2 linked regions of the Neodiprion lecontei genome follow. The protein of the gene in region 1 purifies or fractionates together with the protein of each later gene. This does not show direct contact. Links are inferred from orthologs where the notes say so. Each region holds a gene or a part of one and is shown in the gene's direction. Other genes may lie near its edges.

The links.
Region 2: the proteins of protein argonaute-2 (region 1) and endoribonuclease Dcr-1 purify together in Drosophila melanogaster (affinity purification with western blotting; 5 studies listed by BioGRID, with this or other methods). This does not show direct contact. The link is inferred for Neodiprion lecontei from reciprocal best matches to the Drosophila melanogaster genes AGO1 and Dcr-1.

Annotation. Positions count from the first base shown.
Region 1 is NC_060264.1:19,737,080-19,742,145, reverse strand, and holds the start of protein argonaute-2, read left to right. Parts: upstream 1-2,019; 5' UTR 2,020-2,311; exon of another isoform or gene 2,312-2,490; intron 2,491-5,066.
Region 2 is NC_060263.1:27,267,380-27,272,434, reverse strand, and holds the start of endoribonuclease Dcr-1, read left to right. Parts: upstream 1-1,987; 5' UTR 1,988-2,392; coding exon 2,393-2,452; intron 2,453-2,639; coding exon 2,640-2,755; intron 2,756-2,837; coding exon 2,838-2,997; intron 2,998-3,338; coding exon 3,339-3,631; intron 3,632-3,724; coding exon 3,725-4,087; intron 4,088-4,245; coding exon 4,246-4,406; intron 4,407-4,480; coding exon 4,481-4,689; intron 4,690-4,859; coding exon 4,860-5,043; intron 5,044-5,055. Other genes in the region: coiled-coil domain-containing protein 130 homolog, read left to right, coding at 1-139. UniProt on the Drosophila melanogaster protein: Endoribonuclease which functions in microRNA- (miRNA) gene silencing and, independently of its ribonuclease III activity, also acts in the short interfering RNA- (siRNA) gene silencing pathway.

The DNA of each region.
Region 1 (5,066 bases):
CGGTATTTGTTTTTTCATTTCCAGCAGCTATATGAAGATCTTATATCTCATTTCAAATGGCTATCAGCCACACACCTTTCTTTCAACAACTTCTTCAACTCCTTCAACTTTATTCTTTTGGACATGTAACAGTATACTCAAAGTTCTTGAAATTAAATAAATGTGCAAAAGTGCAAGGTGTAATTATACATGGTCCAACTTCACTTGATGTGGAATGTCACATAATTATAACTATGAGATCTTTTGAAAATGGTAGTACGTACAACCGACAGGATAAAAATTGATGTTACGGATAATGTCGAATACCTGTAGAAACAGGATGTAATGATCGGAAAGCCAGCAAATCATTTTCTTTGAAAATCAGTTATTTAATAACAAGCGTGGACTTTTCGACTATGTCATTTATATTCGTAACATTTCAAAATTATTCCCGTGATGAAAGGATTTTTTTGCTAACTTTTTGGCTCTTTGAGAAAATTTGAATTGATAATAATAAAATTTCAAATTTCACCATTTCAAAAATTGAGATAAATAATTTACTCTGACAAGTACGTCAATATTGTGCAGAAAGTGAAATAATTTATTTAATCTATTTTGCTGTAAAAAGTTGTATTGCTTAAAAACAATGTTAATACCTTATCAAAATTTCAAATAAATTCACAAAAATTATAGTTTTCATTTCAAGTATTTTGCAACGAATCTAATTATATATTTCATTATTCATTCATCTATTTCTTTAGGCACTTGGATAATTTCCATTGATTGAAATCCAGGTACGTAACTGTTTGAAATTTTCAATTTTAACATGTCTTCCACTTATTATCCGCAAAGTGAAAAATGTTTCAGAATATTTGTTCAGATAGTTGTTGGTTATGAAGTTTTACCGGCGTAGTCAGCTACTGGGTTGATAATACATTGAACTGCTAATACCACCAGATCCGACAAATCGTTACGAAAAATAACCCAGAACTAGCCGTGTTTATACATCTGCAGTCAACACCGCTTAAGCTCAGTGTCATACGCTGCGTAACGTTAGCAATGTGTTAAATTTTACATTCGATATTAAAACTATGTCATTCGCCCTTTTTTCATTTCATTTCATTTGTAACTTAAAATCATAGCGCCGACTAGAATCACCTGAGAGTACAGCGAGATGTTGAAATAAATTAGAAAGACCGGCCGTAACCGGCGGGAAAATTTGTAACCAATGGGAGGACAGATTTTGCGGCGCACTAGCGCTTGATAGGATATCACAGTAATCGATATAGAACGTTGATGTTGCTAGCAAGAAGAAAGTAGCGTATTTCAATGTTCCCTCTCGCGGGTTGACACGTTTATTGCCGTTTCAATACTTCCCCGATAACGTAAATTTCACGCGAATTACACCGCGATCGGAAGAGGTTATAATGATGAAATTTGCAGATCAAACGATTTCAGTAACACAGAAAATGAAGAAAAACTAAACGGCCTATATATAAGACTGCAAAACAGCGACGGTATGTTACTAGCCTCGGTGCAATTGCAAGGGGAGAAGAGCGAAACGGTGTCAGGTGAAGTTTGCCTGGTTAATTTACAACCGATTCTGATTGGCCGACAGATTATATGCATCGTTCAGGAACGAGTGAAAATCGGGTAGACTCGTGATTTGTTAATTATGCAACGAAGCCGTGAACGGTTAACGAGCCAAATTACCGTTTCGAAATCGAACAAAAAAACGCGGCAACTAATTTTTCATTCTGTTTTTTCTCTGCGCGGGGAAAAATAGGTTAGAAAACGATCCCAATGATCGTTTGGTAAATCAAACGATTCGAAGGCGCGAAAAAGACAACCGTAGGTTCAAAATTCGAATAAATTGGAGCGGGAGTCAAAAGCGATGAAAAAGGTGAAACTAGAGGGGCAGAATAGCGGTGCGGAAACGGTTACATTTTCAAATGAAAATGTAAAAGGAGAGTAACGGTTAATAGCGCGTTATTGCCCATTGCCCCTGTTTATTTTGCCGTCCCTGAGGTTTGCGATGGCCGCGCGCGACTTGGTCATGCGCATCTCGGATCAGAATCGAACAAGTAGTGGGGATTAAGCCTGACCGCCTGAAAGAATGCATTGCGAATGTCGCGAAAGCTCTTACAAACTTGTTAACCGGGAACGTATCTACTTGCTGGCGGTTGTACAATATATAATATAATACGCTGTTGTGGCTGTACCTCCCCGAAAATAGGGTGAGAGGGGGGGGAAAAAAATACGGCAACAAACCATCAGGATCAACAACAACAACAAAAACCACGAGAAACCGCGAGACGTTTACATCGAGATCGTATGTTTTTCCTGCTAATCAAAAACCGTAAAAGTATAAATCGTATGTAACATTTTAATTATCACTAAAACAGTGATGAACAAGTACTCAAGAAAATAAACTACGTGTCATTGTTTATCGAGTGCGGCGGGATCGACGGCACTGGATCGTAATATCATTGTTATGACAGCAACGTGAGTGTTAGTAAAAATGGCAACCTTGACACTTGGGTTAGTCGGCGGCGGTTGTCGCTTTTTGGCGGCTGGTGGGGTATCCCTGTGTTTAGACTCGTTTCACCCCAAATCCTACCCCCCGTTCGTTTTCTTTTCTCCTCATTCTTATACCCTGACAATAGAAAAAAACACCTGACGTGTCATCGGATTAAATACAAATTAAACTGAAAAACCAAGATTAAGAAAAAAAAAAGACGGCCATGAATCAAAAAATTGACTAGAGCTTATAAGCAGAAAAAAATCATCAGGATTATTTATATAATACAGCAAATAGTTATGACACGGTAAAACATCACTTCATCCAATATATATATATATATATATATATATTTATACTTATACTTATATGTGTATATATATTTAAATCCTATATACATATATATATATAGATATATATACAAGAGACTCAGTAGAGCCCGCGCCAAGTATTTTTCGTACGTTCTCGTTTTACCTCCCACTACTGAAGAATATTCGTTATGAAATAATAATTACCTTCAGTGTTCATCATCACCGATATAATCACGATTATCCCAATGGATGGTAGCGTCTCTATTTCAGATTTTTTTCCTTTTCTTAATCTTTATTTCTCTTTCTCTCTCTCTCTCTCTCACTCTCGCTCGCTATTTCTTGCTCGTTCTCAACCCTTCCTCCACCCCTAACCTAACCTAACTTCCCGCCCTCCCCCTCCTCCTGCAACAAATCAAGGGCAACTTCACCTTGGACAAAATCAAGCATTTTGGCATTGACCTTGAATTGTTCCTCCGTTAACGATAAATTTCCTTATACGTGTAATGCAGACGATATGCGATGGCGATGATCGCAATGATGACAGCAATGATGATAATAACAATGATAATTTCAACGATATGTGCGTAGATTCATATCATGGTTATTATACATACCTATGTGAAAATCGCGACAAGGAATTATGCGTGTAATTGTAGAGCCCAATGAAACTGAGTCGGCTCGTTTCGTGTCGAATCACAGTGATGATGTTGCTGATTAATAAAATCGTGGATCAAATGTAGCCCGTTCCACTTTTGAACAGTTCGGATTTGATAACAAATGAACGAAAATTACCTATCACACGGCGTATTCTTCTCGTTCATGTCATCCGACATATTTGAGATTTCGAATCAATCAGTGGGTTTTGGATGAGTGATAGACACGCGTTAAAAAGTGTTGAATGTGCTTGATTTTGCATAAAAATGTATTATCTTCGTGCGATTTGAAATTGTGCAATTTAAGAGACAAAGTTTTTTTCTGCCCTATCGAAAAACTGTAAAATTTGTGACTTAATTAGCGAAATTGATATTGCATATCAACTGTCATTACTTCCTAGTGATTTCAACTATGCAAACTTTGAAACTGACCCGCGGTTCGTTCCGAATGAGTGAAAAAACGACATAAAAAGGCAGTATTATGGATGGCGTATCCTTGTAAAAATGTAGGAAAAATTAATACAGACTGTCTTTTTCGGGGATGTGAACGGTTTTTGTTGTATTCGAAATGTATCCGGAATGTTATTGTACAATTACACAAATGTAAGTCCAAAAAAATACAAATATAATCGTATTTAACGATTGGTCATTTTTACCAGGGATAGAAAGTAATCATCGTTTTTCTGTTTTGAAGTCTGGCAAATTTCGAATCGATCAATACATTTCGAATAAACATAAAATTGAGTCAATTTGATTAATTACTAATTCAAGACAAATCCTCTTCCTGCCATGATCCCGAATACATGATTTTAAAAGTTGACTGCTTACTTCGAACAAGCGAGGAGACGAATGTAAAAAGCAAAATAGTCTCGATTTCGCAGTGGAAGAAATTCTTTCCCTCGAATCTAACGTCAATAAAATTAAAAATCGAGCGATCCGTTTCGAACAAGTGAAAAAACCAATACACAAAGATCGAGTATAAGGCTGACGTATTTTTCACACCAAACGACTTCTTTTTATTCAATGAATCCGAGATCTTAAAAATTTCCAAATCCAATTTTCAAGTAGTTATGATGTATTATAATCAACAATTCAGAAAGCAAGAAAATTCATAGATTTGTGTAATGTGGATCCCAATAATCGCATTGAATTTCAATAATTGCATCAAAAGTACGTGATCATTTCAATGCCTAAAATTCTTTTCGCATATTGCAGACACGGTGTGTAGATTACGTACATAAAATGTAAACATACAACATACAACAGGCGTTTCAATGCAGGTCATTATGTATTCGTACTTTTTACCGCAGCTGTTGCAACTACATCGGTTGTACATTAGAATAACATTATTATTGTTATTTTGCCTTTCATTATTACTCATCAGAAAACTAAAGAGTAAAGTGAAGTCAATTTTGGATGTCGAAAGAAATTCTATTTTCGTAATACATGCCTCTGAACGAGTAAGCAGTCAAAAATTAGGTGCTTGGATTACACAATGGAATGAATACAAAGAAAAGACAGTACATACATATATACGGTTAAGGGGTGCCCTGGTCGATTTCGACGGTGGAGTATATATCGCCAAATATCGAAGCCCACACA
Region 2 (5,055 bases), on another chromosome or scaffold:
ACAAAAACAAGACCAACAACTATTTGGTAACGAATCTTCTTCAGAGTCTGATAGAAAGTCTACATCTACTCGTCAACAAAACCTGCCCTTAGTCCATTATGATTTCTCAAGTTCAGATAGTGGATCGGAACGTTCATGAATATATTTGATGGTGAATAATAACACGAACAGAGCTTGCTTTAGAAATGAATTACCTTATGACCAAAAGTACTTGACACAATCCGCAAATCGCAAATAATTCAATTATGTAGTTCTTTGCAATAAGTGAAGATATATTTTATTTCACTCTGACAATTTCCCGTCAGTAATTTATTGATGATCTAACGAAACTGCTTCTAAGAAGGATTTGTCGAAATAATTAAATATCTATGGGACAATAGGTATAAAGATCTTACTCAAGCGACCATGTATTAACTATGTAAAATAAACTGTAAATATATATATATACGTATGTACATAGGTATTATATTTGTATGCAACATATTTATACATCATACATAGTATTAAAGTTCAAAACCAGAATTTGGATGTTCGGATGTTCAGAAAGTGACGTCACCGAAATTTTTTTCTCTGACGTCATCGATCTATAGTAATCGTCGACGACGAAAATCAGCTAACCGAATTCATCATTCTGAAAACAACCGCGCAGTAGAGCGGACGGATGAGAATCGGGCTCCGCAAATTTCGAGTACCGGGTTCTCCACCTCCTGGATCCTGCGCTCAGGGTCCGCTTCCTGGTGCAACTCGAGTTCCGGAACAAGCGCTCCGTAGTTTCTACGCTCCAGGTCCGCTACCTGGTGGAACTCGACTTCCCAGACAAGCGCTCCGTAGTTTCTGCGCTCCAGGTCCGCTACCTGTTGAAACTCTACTTCAGGAACAAGCACTCAATAGGACTGGCGATCCAGGTCCTTGACCTGGTGACTTTTGACCTTCAGGACTAATTTTCTGTAGTTATGGCTGTCCAGGTCCTCCACCTGGTGGATCTCGACCTCCAGGACTCGCGCTCCGTAGTTTCTGCGCTCAAAGTCCTCTACCTGGAGAAACTGGACTTCAGAGACAAGCACTCCGTAGTTCTGGCTGTCCAGGTCCTTGACCTGTTGACTTTTGACCGTTACGAGTAATTTTCTATGGTGCCTGCGCTCCAGGTTCGCTACCTAGTGAATTTCGACCTCCAGGACCAGTGCTTCGTAGTTCCTGCACTGTGCAGTGAGCAGTGAGGGCCTGAGGTATCTCATTAATTTCGTATCATCTGGTAAAACACTAACAACGAGTAAGCGAGCGCACAAGAATAAAAACCAGCTGCACTAGGCATCCGACCCCGAGCGAGCTTTAACGAGCGAGGGTTTTACAGCTTATTATTATTTGTATGCAACATATTTATAAATAATATAATTAATGTGATTTCAATGTCTCGCTTCTTTAGTCTAGAATGGAACAGTGAAATATATATATATACTGAATGCGAGCCAGCAACGCAGAAAAACCGGGGATGTGCTATTATGCGTTCTTTTGTACATATAATCTGTCATTTGTTCAAATCTTGACAATTTTTTATTGCTACTCGCGTCACGTCGTGCTTACCATTTTTAGCAATTTTTTTCGTATTCTAAGGGGGTGCCTTGCTCGATTTCGACGTTGACATATATACCTCTAAATATCGAAGTCCACGCATCTCAAATGTAAACAAGGGTTTCAACAGCCCCATTCTATACGCCATTCTAAACAAAGATTTCTACAATGCATGGAATTTCTTTATTTCTGCATCGAATGAAAATGAATTGGTGTGTGTCTGTTCAAAAACGCATATAGGTAGAACGGGCTGTGAGCCCTTTTTTGCATTGACATATACCTATACGTCACGTCGAAATCGAGCATGGCGCCCCCGTGAGGCTTTAAGGTGCGTCTACATTGAAGCTCCAATGTAAACGCACCTTTCAGGCTCATGATATGCCTACTATTCGAAGAGTTACCGATTGTATGTACTTTTTTATTTGATTGTATACATACGTACCAATTTATTGGAGTACACAGCCTCTTTAAATATCAGTTCCGATTGTCAATACCAGATGCTGGTTACTACCAGCTCTTTAGAGCAAATAAACAAATGTTTTTAGAGAGTTCCAATCTATGTATTAATTATGGTTCACATCGCGAAGACAGATCTGTGTGCCGCCGATTATTTGACAAGCAGAATAACCTAAAATTTGGTCAAATCTTTTCGTATAAAAATAGCCGTACAACACTGTTATTCGTCTAGAGTGCACATTTCGATAAGGTTTCACCTTGATTTACGTTATTATTGACGTTTTGCTAGTTTTTTGATAAATCAAACAACCCGTAATTGGGTTTTATACGTTCAACGATATAAAAACATTTCATTACTACAATCTCCATGGCATTTCCATTAAATGATCAAGTTCATACTAAGTCTTTCTCTCCTAGAGAATATCAAGTGAGTAAATAAGACATAATTCTAAAACATACATGTAGTGATAACTAATTTCCAAAGTTCGTTTATCATTACTCAAATTACATTTTTTAAATTACATTTTTCAAATTACATTTTGAATTCCATTATTTATTTCAACAAGTTGTACAAATCGAAGTAATTAGTGCCTTGTGAAAATTTTTTATGCTAGGTGGAGCTCCTCTACGCAGCTTTAGAGAGCAACATAATAGTTTGTCTAGGAAAAAATTCTGAACAAATATTTATTGTTATCAAACTAATTCAAGAGTTGGCGACTAACAACAGAAGGTAAAGCTATGTCGTTTCTCTTTACAATTGTTGTTTTTTCATCTTCAAATCTTTGGATAACTTGAGTTCCATCTGTTCACAGATCTCCGTCAGAAGGAGGCAAGCGCTCAGTATACATTCTAAGAGATACAGATCGATGTTTAACCAAAGCTGTATATATACAACAATTAACAGATCTACGCGTACTTATCTGTGATTCTGAGACATGGCCAGAGTTCGATAGAAAATTCGCTGAAAGTCAGGTGATATATGTTATCAACGATATAAATTTTATTTCAATTTTCAACCAGTTATTCAATATGGTAATTCTGTAATATCTGTATGATTTTCAAAATACAAGTCTTTATTTTAAGAGACTCGATCTTTGTTCAAATCTTCCTCAAAAAAGTAGCGCACAATTATCAAATATACAAGTGTTATATAGCAGTCTATTTTATCAACGTCCAATATTGTGATGTAAAACAACAGCATGATTGATGTATGTCTCATTTTTACGAAAATCTTACAAGTTATTTAAATCTACATAAAGTCTGTATCATTTGTGTTCATATTTGTTGATACAGATTTATTTTATTTGTTAAAGGTGATTGTTACTACATCACATGTTTGTGCAGATCTGTTGAATCAGAATAAAATTTATCCAAGTCAAATAAATTTGGCAATTGTAGACCAATGCCACAAAGCAGTCAATGATGAAAAGCTAAAGTTTGTTTTACAAAAATTTAATGTCTCTAACGGTCCTCGACTAATTGGTTTTGCTGCACCAGTTTTTAATCTAACTCGTCAGCCAGGACGACTGGAAGCAGAAGTTGAACTTTTGGAAAAAACCTTTCATTGTAGAATTGAAACAGCCAGTGATATTGTATCAGTATTAAGGTTTGTATCTTCTTACTTATTGTGTTTGTTTCACTTTGTTCACTCAATTACTATGTTTTGTGTAAAATAAGAATGTATTCAATTTTGATTCAGATATAGTCCAAAACCAAAAGAGTACATTGTAGAATACAAATGTGGCGAATATGAAGAATTAAACCAGACTCTGGAGAACTGTGCTATGCATGCTATGAACTTTTTGTGTGATCATCGCTATGATCCCACTGAAATTTACAACGATGAGTTCCTCGAGGACATACAGAAGATTCCTGATCCTAAACAGGAACCTTGCTCAATGATAGAAGACTTTTTGTACGTACTTCAAACATTCGGGGCTTGGTGCGCCAATCACGCTGCTCTAGCTTTGCTAATTCAAGCAGAAAAGCTGAAAGTAAAAACCCCTTATGAGCGACACTACTTATTATTCAACGTTGTGGTTTCCTTGTTTATTAAAATAAGGTATGTGTTTCATGAAATATCAAGTATTGAGTAGTCAAACTCCTCCAACAGATTTGCCACTGTAGATTCTTCACTTCTACCCTCAATTCTAATTTATACATTTGGTTATAATTGATATAATACAAAAACCGAGACATTATGGTTTGTTTGGTTTCTAGAGCTATTTGTGAAAGTGAATTTGAAAATTTGAGCGAAAGAGAAAAATTATACAAATTCTCCACTCCATGTGTTCATCGACTATTGCATATACTCAAGTGTTATGCCCCATCCAGCAAAAAAGAATTGACTATCCCAGACAACAAACTGAGCAATGGACACAGTACGTTGAAACATTTGACACTGTTGAAACAGTGGTTTCATAATTAACCATATCCTTATGCATTGTTAATTAAGGTGTATCTGCCTGCAAGAAAGACATTGATACTGGAAAAGATGGCCTCCAACAATCAAAATACATTGGAAATGTCAAAAAGCTACGAACTGGTATTAAAAGACCTCCAAAATCACGGTATCCACGTACTCAAATTGATCCAGATCTGTTGTGCGGAGTTATTTTTGTGGATAAAGGATTTACAGCAAAAATATTATTTTATCTATTGAATGTAAGTTTTTGTTGCTTTTAATATCTTTACTCTTTACATAAAAACAAAGAAGACACAACAAAAGTTATTCTAACATTCCAAACCTAATATTACATTTTTGTGAGATTTGGGTATACAAATACTTGTCATAAACTAAATATAATTACAAAGAGTTGATTATTTTTCTCCAGGACGCTTGTAAGTATGACAAAGATTTACAATTTCTCTCCCCACTTTATACAATTGAAAAGAATCCTGAGGGAACAAGCTCTGCTCATGACATGGAGGTTCAACATCGGAAACAAGAGGAGGTTTTAAAAAGCTTCCGAATACACGAATGTAATTTATTAATTGCTACATCGATATTGGAGGAGGGTATGTATTGTT